Linked DNA regions of Lytechinus pictus. The protein of the gene in region 1 binds, or shares a complex with, the protein of each later gene. Links are inferred from orthologs where the notes say so. Each region holds a gene or a part of one and is shown in the gene's direction. Other genes may lie near its edges.

Evidence for each region.
Region 2: signal peptidase complex subunit 2-like (region 1) and signal peptidase complex subunit 1-like share a complex: the UniProt entries of both Drosophila melanogaster proteins name them as parts of the signal peptidase complex. The link is inferred for Lytechinus pictus from reciprocal best matches to the Drosophila melanogaster genes Spase25 and Spase12.

Annotation. Positions count from the first base shown.
Region 1 is NC_087260.1:11,022,000-11,029,667, forward strand, and holds the start of signal peptidase complex subunit 2-like, read left to right. Parts: upstream 1-4,654; 5' UTR 4,655-4,879; coding exon 4,880-4,906; intron 4,907-7,214; coding exon 7,215-7,292; intron 7,293-7,668. UniProt on the Drosophila melanogaster protein: Component of the signal peptidase complex (SPC) which catalyzes the cleavage of N-terminal signal sequences from nascent proteins as they are translocated into the lumen of the endoplasmic reticulum.
Region 2 is NC_087258.1:20,231,077-20,239,199, reverse strand, and holds the start of signal peptidase complex subunit 1-like, read left to right. Parts: upstream 1-4,966; 5' UTR 4,967-5,020; coding exon of another isoform or gene 5,021-5,151; 5' UTR 5,152-5,457; coding exon 5,458-5,490; exon of another isoform or gene 5,491-5,552; intron 5,553-6,086; coding exon 6,087-6,146; intron 6,147-7,380; coding exon 7,381-7,467; intron 7,468-8,123. Other genes in the region: ubiquitin carboxyl-terminal hydrolase 48-like, read right to left, coding at 673-760, 1,668-1,727, 2,808-2,928, 5,021-5,151. UniProt on the Drosophila melanogaster protein: Component of the signal peptidase complex (SPC) which catalyzes the cleavage of N-terminal signal sequences from nascent proteins as they are translocated into the lumen of the endoplasmic reticulum.

The DNA of each region.
Region 1 (7,668 bases):
CTTTATTCTCATTAAACAGCATACACAAAATACAATATACAATAATCTCATAGCCCCTATAGTGCAAGTGCGAAGCGCGAGCTAAAATATTTTTGAAATTTCATGTTTTTTATCCTCAAAATTGAACATTCTGGGCAATGTTTGTGAACTTGAACAAGATGCGTATTTTACTAAAATTGCTGCGAGCGTGAAGGAGCAAAAAAAAAGTAAGTAAGAAAAGAGAGAAATATACGTTCTGGCCTGATCGAAAAGGGACTTGCTAATGGCGGTTTACAGTTAGCCAAGAGGACAATGTATATTTCAATCAAAATAATGCGAGCGCAAAGCTCGAGCTAAAATGTTTGAAATTCTGACCATAAAAATGGACATTCCAAGCACTTTGTGTATGAACAGAACACAGTGGGAGCACGAAGCGTGAGCGGATAACAATTGAGATATATAGACCTAAAAGGAACACTATTTTATATTTATGTTTTCTAAATCGTGAAAAGGGTGGGTAATTGGTTACCGTCTTACATTATTTTATAATGCAAGAGCGAGAATAATTTTTTTTTTTATTCTAATCTGAAGCGAGATAATTTAAGCATGCTGTTTTCAATAAAGGATAAGCAGCCCGTCTCAATAAACATGCGTGTTCTAGAATTTGTGCATTCTTAATACACTTTTTACCACGGAAATCAATAATGCGGGCGCGAAGCGCGAACTGATAATATTGGATATTCCGATGTGAAAAGGTCAAATTAAGCACAATATAGGTGGTTTGAATAAAAATGAATAAAACGGCTATTTTGACTCTCAGTACGGCCGCCGCAGAGCAAATGTGACCGAGGTATAAATCAAAAAGAATAATGAAAGTTCAATGTCCTAGCTGACCGTACAGTATTTGTTTTGTATTTTGACTGCAAAGCTTAAATGTCAAGCTCATATATATCAGCCTATTGAGCAATATGTACTCTTCGAAAATGAGCAATGCGAGTGCGAAGCGCGAGCGAAAATTTCAATTTTGCATGTTCTTTTAAATCATCGAAGTCTCCCCTCCCTAATTTTATTCACTTTTCTCCCTCCCTTTCCCCTCTTCCTTTTCCCCTCTCTTTTCCTTCTGTTTCTTCCTTTCTCCATTGTTTGGTCTTTAATCCGCCAACAGCTAGGGGGGGATGACCGCCCCCCCCCCCTGGATACTTCTATGGTAGCGCCTGGTGAAAGCATTTGAATTATTCACCTCACAGTGTTAAACGGGGAAAATAGGAAATGGCTAAATTTTGAAAATCATTAATGTGGAGCCCTATTCAAGTTTAGTTTCATCTATATACACCTTGACAGGGGCTGATCCAGGATTTTCCAAAGTGGGGGCATTCAAGACCTAGTATGCTAAGAAAAAATCATTCCATACACAAAATTCCTGGGAAAAGTTGAAAAATAAGTCCTCACTTGAGAATGAACGACAAAATCCACTAACAAATATATGATATATTACGGGAGGGGGCACCTTTATTTTTCTCCCCTTTCATTATTCCTCATCCATTCCATAGGCAGATCCAGGTGCCGGACCCAATTATGGGCGGCGGCAACCCCTCCTACTGGCGGTGCGAAAATTTAAAAGGTAAAAATTGTAGCCCCCCCCCCCCATTAGCAAAATTTTGATCTACACCGGGTATTTGTCTGTCGTACCTCCCAGTAAATGAAATAACAAAATAAAAAAAATCACCGTTGCACTAGTATTAAAATTTTTGCGAGTCTTTATTTTTCAAATATTTTTGTTTATAATGGTATTCATTAATTATAATTATAGTGGAGGTTCGCATCCCGAGAATGTGAAATGAAAAAAAGAAAAAAAAATTGCACTGAACAGGAAACACTAAACGTCCTATTCAATTCCAATTTACTCAAAGTCATTCAAATAAAAAAAATAAGCATCATTTTTTGATACCTTAACTTGTTCATCACGAATACAATGAAGCCGACAATTATTTGCTTTGTTTTGGATTAATCTTTATAATAATTCACTTCAAATAAAATTTATACATAAACAGGAAAATATCACAGAAAAAAAAAATTAATTGCAGTTGTATAAAACATCATAGAAAATAACATGACAGATAAATTTTATCTCGACAGTACAGGCACACTGTTCATTCGATCATAAAACAATCGCGCTGTTTCACTCCTTGTACACGCACAACTCTATCAGTGTTGTTTCATCTTCATCTGTCCTCAATGGCAAGGACACCAGCATAATTCATTCACTTCAAATAAAATTCATACATACATATACAGGAAATATCAAAGAAAATAATATAACAAATCAATTGCAGTTGCATAAAACACGATAGAAAATAACATGGCAGATGAATTTTATCTCGACAGGCACACTGTTCATTCGATCATAAAACAATCGCGCTGTTTCACTCCTTGTACACGCACAACTATATCAGTGTTGTTTCATCTTCATCTGTCCTCAATGGCAAGGACACCAGCATAATTCATTCACTTCAAATAAAATTCATACATACATATACAGGAAATATCAAAGAAAATAATATAACAAATCAATTGCAGTTGCATAAAACACGATAGAAAATAACATGGCAGATGAATTTTATCTCGACAGGCACACTGTTTCATTCGATCATAAAACAATCGCGCTGTTTCACTCCTTGTACACGCACAACTCTATCAGTGTTGTTTCATCTTCATCTGTCCTCAATGGCAAGGACACCAGCATAATTCATTCACTTCAAATAAAATTCATACATACATATTGTATACAGGAAATATCAAAGAAAATAATATAACAAATCAATTGCAGTTGCATAAAACACGATAGAAAATAACATGGCAGATGAATTTTATCTCGACAGGCACACTGTTTCATTCGATCATGAAACGATCGCGCTGTTTCACTCATTGTACACGCGCAACTCTATCTGAATTGTTTCATCTGTCCTCAATGCGGCAAACACCAGCAGTGCAGTGACGATAATAAGTTGCAGTTGCACATGCGCGGAGAATGAATTAAATTCGGCGGCTGAGTAAAGTCTAGCGAGAAAGGTACGTCACCAGCGAACTTCACGATAGACCACGCCTACTTGCCGAGGTAACCAACGTTGATTGACGGCCCATTTTGTTTTTTGAGTAGTATGAAAAAGTGCAAGCATGTATAAACTTCATTTTAGTTTGAATTCATTCAAAAAACACATTTTTCTTCTAATATAGATGTTTCAAACATATTCCATGTGGGTAACATAATTTTTAAAACATTTATTGCTATATTTTTATCATGAAAAAAGGATTTCTTACGCAACAACAAGTATGATATGTGTGGGCAAGAGAACTACCGTTTTAGCCATAAAGCATATTTTTTATGATTTTATTGTGAGCCTACTCAAGGATTTTTGTTTATTTTTTATGAATTTCCAGACCAAGTTCAACAGCGCCGTCTCGAGCTTGCAATAACGCATGCGATCGCACGCATTTTTCTCCATAGCGAATACACGCGACGAAACTCTGTGGATTTCTCGTGGATTTAACCTCCAAACGTCACTTTCGATACCACATGAAGGTAAGACACTTCATCCCACATAAGTCAATTTACATAAAGAAAACACAGGGCCTAATTTTTTTCACTAAGATGAACTAATTTGCTGAGGAAAAGCATTTCAATGCTCATTTTTGCCGTCGAGAACAGACGATGGTGGCAATGCACACTGTTTACGCACTTGCAATTGGCTTTTCATTTGCCCATAGCAATTTTGCTCAGTGGATCGGCCGACCTTTTGGTAACTCTACCTATAACTATATACATGAGAAGCAACCTGTTGATTTTTTGTACAATTTCCTATTATGCGCCGACGACTTGAATAGAGACTGTTAGTTTTTTAGATAGGAAAAATTCGCATTTCGATTGTTGTTTGCTTGATTTCCACCGCAGTATTCGGACAGACGGAGTATCTTGGCCGAAATTTGGAGGTAAGCGTGAAAAAATCATTTTTATAAATAATTTTGAATATATTTTTAAAATTAAGTTAGTTGATAGATGAAAATTACGTAGACGTAGTCGTAGTGAATAAATCATTAAATGTAAAAATTTTGCCTTTGAGTTTGGCTTTGTTTTGGCATGTTATTCTCTCAGTCTCACATTCGTGTGATGAATGAAAACATCAAATTGCATTATGAAATCACATGCGTTGTGCGAGGTTAGTATAGCTAACCTCGCATGCATGTGTGAGTGCGACCAGCTCTCAGACTCAGGCTCTCAGCCTGTCAGTCTGCAGACTCCGCCATCCATATCCACAACTCGACACTGGCAGCAGGCTCCGACACATCTACGTATTCACGGCGTCACGCGGCCCGTCTCGGCCCGGTCGGGCTAGCCTGAGTCAGCGCTGCACGGCACGGTGTCCTATCCCCAGTTTGACCTGCTTTAAAAAGAATGTACCTTTTACATTAATAAAGTGATGATGATCATGAAAAATTAGATAAAGCTGGTATTGGAAATGTAGAGATTTCGGATACTTACTCTTTACATTTGTTGAGAAAACAGACTAAATATATTTTGCCTTTTCCCTCCTTGTCGCGAAGAAGAGCGTCAGTCAAAGTATTTCGTCGCTCAGTGACCTAGAGGCTCATGGGATAGCTTAAAAAGTATTCAATTTTTACTCTTCTAAGCGGTTTTCACGTGGAGGGCCATGGGGGGATTTAGTCGACGTGTCCTTAGCTCAATGTATTCCGGACTGCATGTGTAAAGTGAATGGAGGAGCGATATTGGCCATATGTTTTACACACATTACATTCAACAGAATAAAAGTCAAAACTGGTGCAATTTTACCCGTGCCTAGATTACGAAAATAGAGGATTTAGTGGAAAAACAAGTGCTCATATTATGTCAAGTGAACGTGGAGATACCTTGGTAAGAATAGAAATTTAGCTTTCTTTAAGTTTAATTAAGGTTCTTGACTCAAGTCTTTTTCAAAATTCAATTTCAATATAGGCCTAGGTCCCTATGTCTGAGTTGAAATAAAAATTGTTAACTTTGCCATTTATAATTTGTTATCCATGGAGACTAGCCAGGAGGCTCCTAGACTAGAGAGTAAAAATCATTTACTAACGTATGCTTACCCTCCACGGAGGTGCCAGGGATTGCGTCCTATTCATATGCGTGTGCCACAAAAAAAACTGAAACTTTTGCCCCTGGCTTAGACTCAGATTTCTAGTTCTACTTTCCTTCTAAAAAAGATCTAGCCCTAAGTCCTAACTAAGTCAGACTAAGTTAACTTCTAAATCATTGTAAATGGGATAAGTCTACAACTTCTTTTCCGAGATTAATATGACATTGATTTCATTTTTAAACAAGAATTCATCAACAAAACAAGAAAAATATGAAGAGACGCACTCGGTCAAGGGTTCATTACATGCCGCCGCGCATAGAAATAGAAGTCGTGTGTTGTGGACACAAGTGGGATCGCAGCACGTGCGACCCACTAGTTAGAAATCCACTGCCAAACGCGGTTCATGGTGCAAGGTTAGTATACTACTAACCTCGCAATACGTGTGAGTGGAAGAGACGGGGAAAACCTGCCGCGGTGTTTACGTCGCCATCATGTTTCTTTTGTTCTTTGCCAAGCTACGTGATGCATATTTCAAGTTTGCTTGAAAAAAAAAATGGAAAAAGGGTGGGGAAAAGAGGGAGAAAACAAAAGAAAACATATTTTTAAATATTAAATTTGGGCTTAGATTACCCTGGAGAAGTTAATTAAATGGCATCTTTTTTGCCATGAAATCAATGACAGCCCCCATATATTAAAAAGATAACTTGGCGCCATCCCAAATAAAATGCATCAGTGCAGAGTGCAATTGAATGACCCCCCAAAATTTTTAAAGGTGGTATATGTCAGTGTGGCTTGCCGTAAATACATTTTCTCTCAATGTGGACGGTGGCGGGCGGTGTGCAGAGAAGAACCTGCCTTCGTAGGACATGTCTAGAGGTGTCTTTCCAAGGACCATTCTTCGTATCGCCCAAATTGGCTTTGGGAAACAGTCTAGCAATATCTCGTTCTTTCGTAGAGCCATTCTACCAAACACCATTTTATGAAACAGGCCCCTCACTCCTGACCTTGGGCTTGACTTTCATGGCTTATGTCATGAAATGAAACTGGGCCCCAGATCATATTTTATGCAGCTGCAGTTGACTTGCATTCTAGATTTTATTGGGTGTCCAAACTTAGCACACATTTAAAAGATATTCGTCAGGGTATAGATCCTAATGCCATCACAAAACAAAATATTCTCATCCAAAACCATGAAAACCAATTGCATGCATGATGTAACCCGAGCATGTTGTAGTGTCAATTGTCAGGGGAGCTGGAGTGGATTACTGAAATACTATTCATAAATTCAATCAGGAAATGCAAATTTATCTTGGTATTCATCAAATTAGGTGCTGGTCCAAAAGTTGGGATTGTCCCAGAAAACAAGGATATCATCAAAAACCAAGACAAATCATTTCTTGATAAATTTAGATTGGATTGTCCTTCTATATGGGCCAGATTATGGGGACAGGTTTTTTTTTCACTTACCCCTGCAGGACATAGTTCAAGGCAATTACGGGGATTGAGAGTGCTAAAAATAGATTCAGTGACCTCAATTCCCCAAGTTCACTGTCTATTTTTCATGACTTGCCGCCTTCCAATAATCTTGTTATGAAACCTGATATGTTAATACCTTGACTAGCGCACTCAATTGACGTTGGCACTTGACAGGTGAATGAACTTTCCTATATTTCTTGTGTGGAGAAATCTTTGAAAACTGAGACGGTCCCTATAAACTGACCAGCGCCTCTAATGACCATGGATACAAAAAAGGAACTCTTCCCCAAATACCTAAGATCATGCAGTTTTCTTTTTTTTACGAAATCAACTTCTGAAGTATCTTATCCCACCCCTCTTCGCATAATATTTGGTCACTGACTTTGAAATGTATACATGTTGGTATTGGTATGGTATATGACCAGAAATGTTTTTCTGCGGGAATAGTTGGAAAATTTACAAAATTACTGATCATATATTTTAACCATATTTTTAGTTTTGAGAAAATAAAGACTTTCAAATGTGTTTTGGCCCTTTTTCATCGATGTTCAAAATTCTTATGTGAAGACTGTCTTTGGCATTTTTCATCAGTGGGCTTGTTATTTTGTATCTCTTCTCTTTTTTTTTTTCCAGATGGAGGAAGAGCCGTGCAGAGTGGATAAGTGGAACGGGACGGCGGTCAAGAACGCCTTGGATGATGATATCCGGAGGGTAAGATTCTCAAGATCTTCATTCAATCCAGCACACAACAGTGGAAAGCCAGCCATACATGTCTGTTCAAACTGTTTTCTAGATATCGTCGCCTTCCCGCACACAGGCCGCTTGTCACCTTCCCGCGAAAGGGCCGTTGGCGCGGACTTCGCGTCGGCTTCCCGCACAAAGGCTGTTAGCGTGCATTGTTCACAGCACGATAACGGCCTTTCTGTGGGAAGGCGACGTGCAATGCGCGCTAATGGCCTTTTTGCAGGAAGGCAACGATATGATGTAAATGCAGGCAACATTGTCTTGACAAGCAGTATGCTCCTCTTTGTTTACAAAGGGACATTGTGCAAATTTCCTGCATAAAAAATGATGGCATTGATGGATA
Region 2 (8,123 bases), on another chromosome or scaffold:
ATCGTTGAGCTGGATCTTACGTTTGCACACGTATTATGCACTTGTTTAATGCATGCAGCGCGGTATCGCGACGTCCGGCGACGTCGCAGCATGCATTGTATTAACACGTGTTGTCGCTCTAGCTGTGTTTGCACGCGCTCCTGCAATGTGCGCGCCATGTGAGATAGGCAAAGTGAAAAACTACGTGCAAGAATGTGTTCAGTTGGTGGAAAAATAATGCTATTTGGGATATCGCAATATACAGGTGCCCACAAGCTTCAGTTTTGTCTAACCTTCGCTCCAGCCGTTTTTTCAATATTATCGATGTAAAAATTAATGAAAATCAGAATTATGGGGTTGATATTCGTAATGCGGAATTGGCAATATAAAATCGGGATGATTCCGCCAAAATCGGGATGGTTGGCAAGTATGCATCCATCCCCTTCTTCCTCCTCCTTCCCCTCCTCTGTCTCCTCATTCTACTCCTCCTCCTTACTCTCCACCCGTCCCTTTCCTTTATTTTGTTCTGGATTGGAACCAAACAAATGTTCCTGAAGTAGATTCATCTCCATTCAAATTATAGAAGCTCAAGGGGGAAATCCATCCAACTCCTACATTTACAAATATTTCTTTTGGATAATCATAATCATTACAAAATTGGCACTTCTATGAAAGTTAACACATCATTTCTACCTTCAAGCGGTTGTTCTTTTCCCCATTCCTTATCCAATGGCCTCCACCTGTAGATTGCTTCTCGAAACTGCTGGTTATTGAACCATACCTGATTAGATTTTTTTTAAAGAAAGAAAGAAGAAGAATGAATTGACAAGAAAGAATAAGTTGCACTAGCTACATGTATAATAGCATCTAGCTTTTTACACAATAATTTACAATTTATTTTTAATTTATTTTTCAATGTCTTTGGGTGTTTTATTAAATGGACCCAAAATAGTTTAACATTTACATTTCAGATGGTGAGTTCATAACAATGATAAAAACAATGACTGATAAAGGGCAAGTCAATGAACTTGTGATAATCATCATACGTCATTGCTAGATTTGAGGGGTCAATAATTAAAGGTCAAGTCTACCCCAGAAAAATGTTGATTTGAATAAATAAAGGAAAATTAAACTAGAATAACGCTGAAAATTTCATCAAAATCAGAAATTCCATTTAAACCAATCTTAGAGAAATGAAGATCTCAGCATTCCAGGTGGTTTCTTTGACTTTCATGATGTACACACAGTGCTCAAGCTGATATCCCCCCCCCCTTCACCTTTCATCAGGTCACAACCAGGGAAAAAGTACACGGGGGCTCAAAAGAGCCCTGAAAAATCCCCTTCATTGCAATGTAAATGCTTATCTAAGTTTACTGAGTTGAAGCAGTGGGCTGTTAAAGGTCCCCCCCCCAAAAAAAAAAAAAATAAATAGATAAACAAAATATATAAAAATAAGAAAATAAATAAAAAATAAGAAATGAAAATTGATTTTAATAATAACAATAATAAATGGAAAAATGAATAATCAATTGAAAAATGAAATAAAATATCAATAAATAAATGAATGAATGAATAATCAAATGAATGAATAAACAAACAAACAAACAAATAATATTAATGATGATATTAAAACAAAAAATACAAATAATGATATTTTTTGGGCCTGGTCACAGCCTTTATGCACTTACCTGCAAGAATGTGTTCACATAACACGTTGCACCAAGATTTTTCAACCCAACCAAATCCTCCTGAAAGTAAAGCATGAAATATCAGAAAAAAAAAATTAAAAGCAAACTTTAGCATGCTTTCAATAGTTATAAAAGCAAAGATTAACAAAGCGATTTACTTGATTTAGTCTTGAAGACATGCATCAATCAATGGTTTCCAGCCTGAGTCATCAATAAGTCAGTAAACTGGGACTCAGCGTCTTTACTTTGGTACAAATGTATCATCGAGTATTGCGTATAGAATGCAAAAAATCAAGCCTAGTCTACCATAGAAGTAGGGACTAAAATTCCTGTTAAATCTAGACTTAACGGGGTACTCCAGGCTGAAAATGATTAAATCTAAATGGAGCACAATTCACAGAGTTAAAACGCTGGAAATATCATCAAAATCTGAAAACAAATGACAAAGTTATTGAATTTTAAAGTTTAGCAGTATTTTTGTGGAAACAGTTAATGCAGTTCCAGGAGCCATCCGACAAGTTCACCCCAACAAAAAGTTGATTTGAATGAAAAGATAAATATCCAACGAGCATAACAATGAAAATTTCATCAAAATCGGATGTAAAATAAGAAAGTTATAACATTTTAAAGTTTTGCTTAATTTCACAAAACAGTTATATGTGCACACCCTGGTCGGTATGCAAATGAGGAGACTGATGGCATCATCCACTCACTATTTATTCTGTATTTTATTATATGAAATATAAAATATTCTAATTTTCTCCTCATTGTCAAGTTAAACAACAATTAATTCCTCCCTGAACATTTCGAATTAGCATTGTTTTATACTATATGGCTCAGTCAAGTTGGTCCTTTTTGTCAACTTTGTAAAAAAATAAATATTGTATAATTCAACAATAAAAAACAAAAGAAAAAGTGAGTGAAGGACATTATCTACTGCCTCATTTGCATATCACTGTTTTGTGAAAAATAAGCAAAACATGAAAAATGTCATAACTTTCGTATTTTACTTCCGATTTCGATGAAATTTTCAGCGTGATGCAATTTTGATTTTTTTCTATTTATTCAAATCAACATTTTTCTGAAGTGGACTTGACCTTTAACTTTGAGACTACCACCCTGACCCATGACCAGACTGACCTTTCTCCTCGTTTCTTCTTCCGGGTCATCCATCTGATACCAGTGTTCATCGCTGATCCCCTTCAGCCATTCCTTCTCACCAAGATTCACAAGGCAATTTGGATTGCCTTTGCAGTTTCGCCTGGACAAATGAGAATCAAAGTATTGCTTTATTACTTTGCAGCACTTCAGAGTATTGTAGTATTCAGAAATTGTAGTGGTATTTAAACATATTTGTCCATGGATTATTTTCAGCTACTTGGCTTTTTTTTCTTTTTTTCTGTTTGTGGTAACTCCCGTAGGAAATCGGCAGGACAGCATTTTTTGCTGGTAAACGCCAAGCTGGTATATAACCAATTACCTTGGAAACATTTTACGTCTAGGTTAATCAGTCATAGTGGCTGACGTAATAGACGACAGATATCACTCTTGGGCCTTTTTATCAAAGTGGAGACAATGGCAGAGTTGGGATTCGAACTCACAACCTTGCGATTATGAGTCCAATGCTCTAACCACTGGACCACACGACCCGCTTTATAAATGAACACATCCAATCTGCAGTTAGAATGAAGATCATGTGAAAAATCAGCTGATAGATCTAACTATAGCTACATGTAATTAATCACCTGTCAATGGCATGCACATAGTTAAAATATGATACTTGGCTCAGATCATGATGGATGATGCGCACAAACATGACTATGGAACACTCTAAAAATAAATACTTAAATCTTGAAACACCATGTTGAAAAATACATTTCTTATCGGTTGTAAAAGTGCAACAAATGGATTCCATTGATAAAATTCAATTCAAATTCCGATTGCAAGTTCCCTCTTTGCAGATGAAATGTTTTGGTCACTTGAAAATGGTGATTTTAATTTTCATTATGATGGTGGTCCCCAAGTTTGTGCACCTAACGATTTGAGTTGAGATTTATGGCAAGTTCCCCTAAGTCTGCGCAGTCCCCCTTGTCTGCGCACACGAGTATCTGCACGATTCGAATAAAAGAAGATACGCAACGAGCACGTACTTTAAACATGCAATACATAGACAGGTATTCATAAAAAAATCCGACTCAAAATGGTGGGAAAATAATGAATTTAGGGCATTTAATGTGACAGCCTCAAAATGCAGCGTTTCTCATCAAAATCCCCAAATCGTGTGCAAAGTGAATGAGTGCGCAGACATGGGGTATCATTTTTATTCAATCTGAAAATGACTGCTCGAGGTTTTTTCAAGAAAATCCTATATTTTCTTTCATTTTTTAATGAGAAACTTGGTACACTTACTCTTAATAATGTAAGGAACATTATTAATTGAAAGATTTTGTGAAATAAGAAGAAATTCATGTTAAATCTTAACTCAAATTGTTAGGTGCGCAGACTTGGGGCCCACCATCATAACATGAATTTCTTTTTATTTCACAAATTCTTTCAGTTGATAATTTTCCTTAATATTATCATAACTGAACTAAATATCTCATAAAAATTAGAAATACATGGTTTTCTTGCAAAAAACATCAGGCAGTCATTTTCAGATTGAACAAAAAAATGGTACCCCATGTATGCGCACCCATTCACTTTGCACGCAATTCGGGGATTTTGATGAAAAAGGCTGCTTTTTGAGGCCATCACATGAAATGCCCCAAATTCATTATTTTTATGTCATTTTGAGTCAGATTTTTTAATGAATATCTTTCTATGTATTGCATGTGTAAAGTCTGTGGTCGTCGCGTATCTTCTTTTACTAGTAGTAGTAGAATCGCGCAGATACGCGTGTGCGCAGACAAGGGGGACTGCGCTGCTGTGCGCAGACTTGGGGGAACTTGCCATGGCCATATGCCTCAATTTAAACAGTGAGTTAATAACATGACATGGTTAACGTTAGGCCTAATGTTAGAACACTTTCTTCCTCTCTCTCTTCCCATTCATGTTCCCTGAATTTTTAGCTGAAATTCAATTCTTTTGAGATCTAGACTCTAGCTAGATCGAGTCGACAATGATCTTTCATTCTTTATCAGTTTATCTCTACCGTATTTGTTTCTTTCATATATTTTCTTTCTTTTCGGATTATTCTCCTAACTATTTTTGCTTGTAGGGCCCAGAGGCTAAACATGAACTAGTGTTATCGCTCATGAGTCATAACTTTTTAAGTTTAACTTGATCATGATCCTGTTTTATTTCACTGCAGCTGCACATCACAGTAACACTAACACTACTACCACAGACTTTACCTGCAAGACGCCGAACAAATTGGGAGATTGACTCGATAAGCAATCCGAACATGTTCCTCCGTCACTTCTTCTGGAGAGGTTGTTTCAGTCCATCGCCAAATTTCCTTGTCTACATTGACTTTACCAGGCATTTCGATGGTTGATTTTCTTGATCATTAACTTAGTTCAGACTTCAAAGGCTACAAAATATCCCTTTCGCGCGAGAAATTTCACAACTGAGCTGACAGTGTTTTTATTTTATGAGAGCCGCAGACAAGACGGAGCTGGCGCTATTCTCCTTAATTGGTTTTGTTTGCTGTGGCCGTCTACATTTACGACACGTATTATTCATATTCCGGGCGAATTGAAATTTATTACAGCTGAATATTAGACCTTTTGGACAAGTGGTTATTGTCAAGATCAGTGATAATCAAGAAACTACAAGTAAACTCGACAGAATGGGGTTTTTGGACAGCGTACCAACCCATATGGTAAGTATTTTTAACGAGTGTCTTGAGTGTGGTCCCATCCATTGAAATACGAGTTTGTCTTAGCCGAGCTTAAGATGAAATGGGCCTGGGAAACGGGAAGAAACTTTGATGGAAGCTGAAAAGGAGAGGTCGAGAGAGAGCTTCAGCTTGGCCTTGGCCCTGCCGCGCCTTTTTTCCATATCCAATAGATTCCTGAAATCTGTTTTGGAGACTTTGAATCAGACTACGGTACTGACTACAAATTATGGTTATTGTAAACATGAAATTGTAATATTTGTATTATTTTATTTTTAAAGAATCTTGCCTCTATAGACTATAGGCTCTAAGACTAACTGTTTTTTATCAACAAATCCATTCTTTGAAAATCGATCAAGAATCAACTTCATCAATTAAGACAAGACTAATGTTAGAGGCAAGACGAGATTTAAAACATAGCCATAGGCATAGGTAAGTATCATGACATGACGTCATGAGTGCTCCTAAAACTTTAACTTTAGTTTAAGCTGTTAAGTCCCTTTTAAAATTAAACAAAATGACGTCATGTCATACTTATCTATGGCTATGTTTTCTTTGTTTTTTTCTTACTGTTTTCACAGGATTATAAGGGACAGAAACTTGCAGAGCAGATATTCCAGGCAATAATCATGCTGTTTGGGGTAAGTAAATTTTTGTTTAAGTGTGTTTGCTCTAGTCAACATGAATGAAAATCACATAGTTTTGATTAAATCTTCTTGGAGGGTTATCATAATATACTAACCTCACATGTTGTGTGAGTGTCATAATGCATAAAGCCTGACTATTTGCAAACAATTTTTTTGGTACATTGGCTAGTAGTAGTGTGTGTGTATCCTAGAAATGATAATAATTAGTACATTGTTATATGATCTTCTTTTCTTCCTCTTCCAGTACTCCCCCCATCCCTCCTCATCTTATCCATCTTCCTTCATATCTGCTACTGCTAGTCCTCTTTATTCTCATTTAACTCCTCTTCCTCCACATTTCCCCCTCTTCTACTTCTTTCTCGTACCCTTCCTCCTATCCTCTTCTTCCCCTCCTTATCTTGCTATCCCTCTTTCTCCTCCTTTTGCACCTTCTCACCCCCTTCTCATCCTCCTTTTCCTAATTTCCTCATCTCCCTCATTTCTTAATCATCTTCCTCCTCCCATCCCATTCCTCCTTATGTACCACACCTCTTCCTCCTCCCCCTCCTCATTCTTCTCCTTTTCTGCTCATCCTCTTCATAATCATCTAGTGCTCTTTTTCCTTTTCCCTTTCTATCTCTTCTTTCTCCTCATGCGCTTTCTCATAATATATCCCCCTTTTGCAGCTCATCTTCCTCATCCTCTTCTTCCTATCCTGTTCTTCATTTTGCACACCACCTCCTCCCTTTCCTCTTCATCTTTCTCATCTCCTCCCCTCCCCCCATCATCTAGTCATCATTTTCCTTCTCTCTTTCTAGATCTCCTCAAACAGGATCCTCTTTCCATTAAACTGTCTATCGTTCTATTGTAATCTTAGCCTTCTGGGACGAATTGCTTTGACTATTACTTTTTTCAGTAGCTCATAACAGCACCTTTTATTAAGTTTTGCTATTACATGTAACTGTTTTGAAATATATTGCAGGTTATTATGGATTAAAATTCAGAATGATTGCTTGAATATTGGATAAATATCTATAGCCAACAGAGATGCCAACCCTCCTAATTTATCAGCTCCTGAAAATTCTGCTCCCTTCCAATCACCTTCATTTTCCTCCTGAAATTTTGATCCATTTAATTAATCGATACATTGAATGGGAATTTAGTGAGAAAAGTTTGTCTGCAACCTGATTTCATTTCTGATAAGAAGTCTTGTGATTCATAAAATGTTGCACTTTGCATTCCCTTGCAGATTGTAGGGTTCATCTGGGGTTATGTCTGTGAGCAGTTCGTACAGACTGTGTACATACTCGGTGCTGGTTTTGTTCTCTCCTGTATAGTAAGTACCAGACCATCCTTTAAAAGGTTGTATGAAACAGTGAGTCTTAACTTAAGCCCAGCGTACATTGTGCAATGCGATTGCATGAAGTTGCCAATCGCATCTTACTCAGTCAGCGCAATGGGGCAATTCCATAGGTTGGTGGACATGAGCTCAATGTGTCTTTGTACTGTATAGCCCATCTGAACCGTAATGTGAGTAACCACTTTATCTGCACCCCTAGTAAAAACCATGTGTTCTTTATTTTTTGAATTATATACAAATTTGTCTCCCTAATATACTTATTTGAAATGGATATAATCAACTTTCATAAAAGCCTTGTATGAGGACACTTTTCACTTATGTCCACTTTTCATTTTATGCATGTCCAAATCATGTAACATGAGTAACCGACACATTTCTAAGATTTGCCAGGAGCATAATGAAATTTCCCAAGTTTTGTTTTTATACAAAGGATAGTCAGACTGCCTACTATGTTGTGATAAAGAGATGTTTAGTTCCTATCAATAATAATGGAGTTACAGCTCCAAGTATGAGTCAAGGTGTCTCCAAATGTAACATGGGTAACCATGGAATAGCCCAATGGCATTACAGGCCAACGCACACATTGCAACAGCTGTCCAACACGATGTATGGCACCACCTCTTTTATGCGTA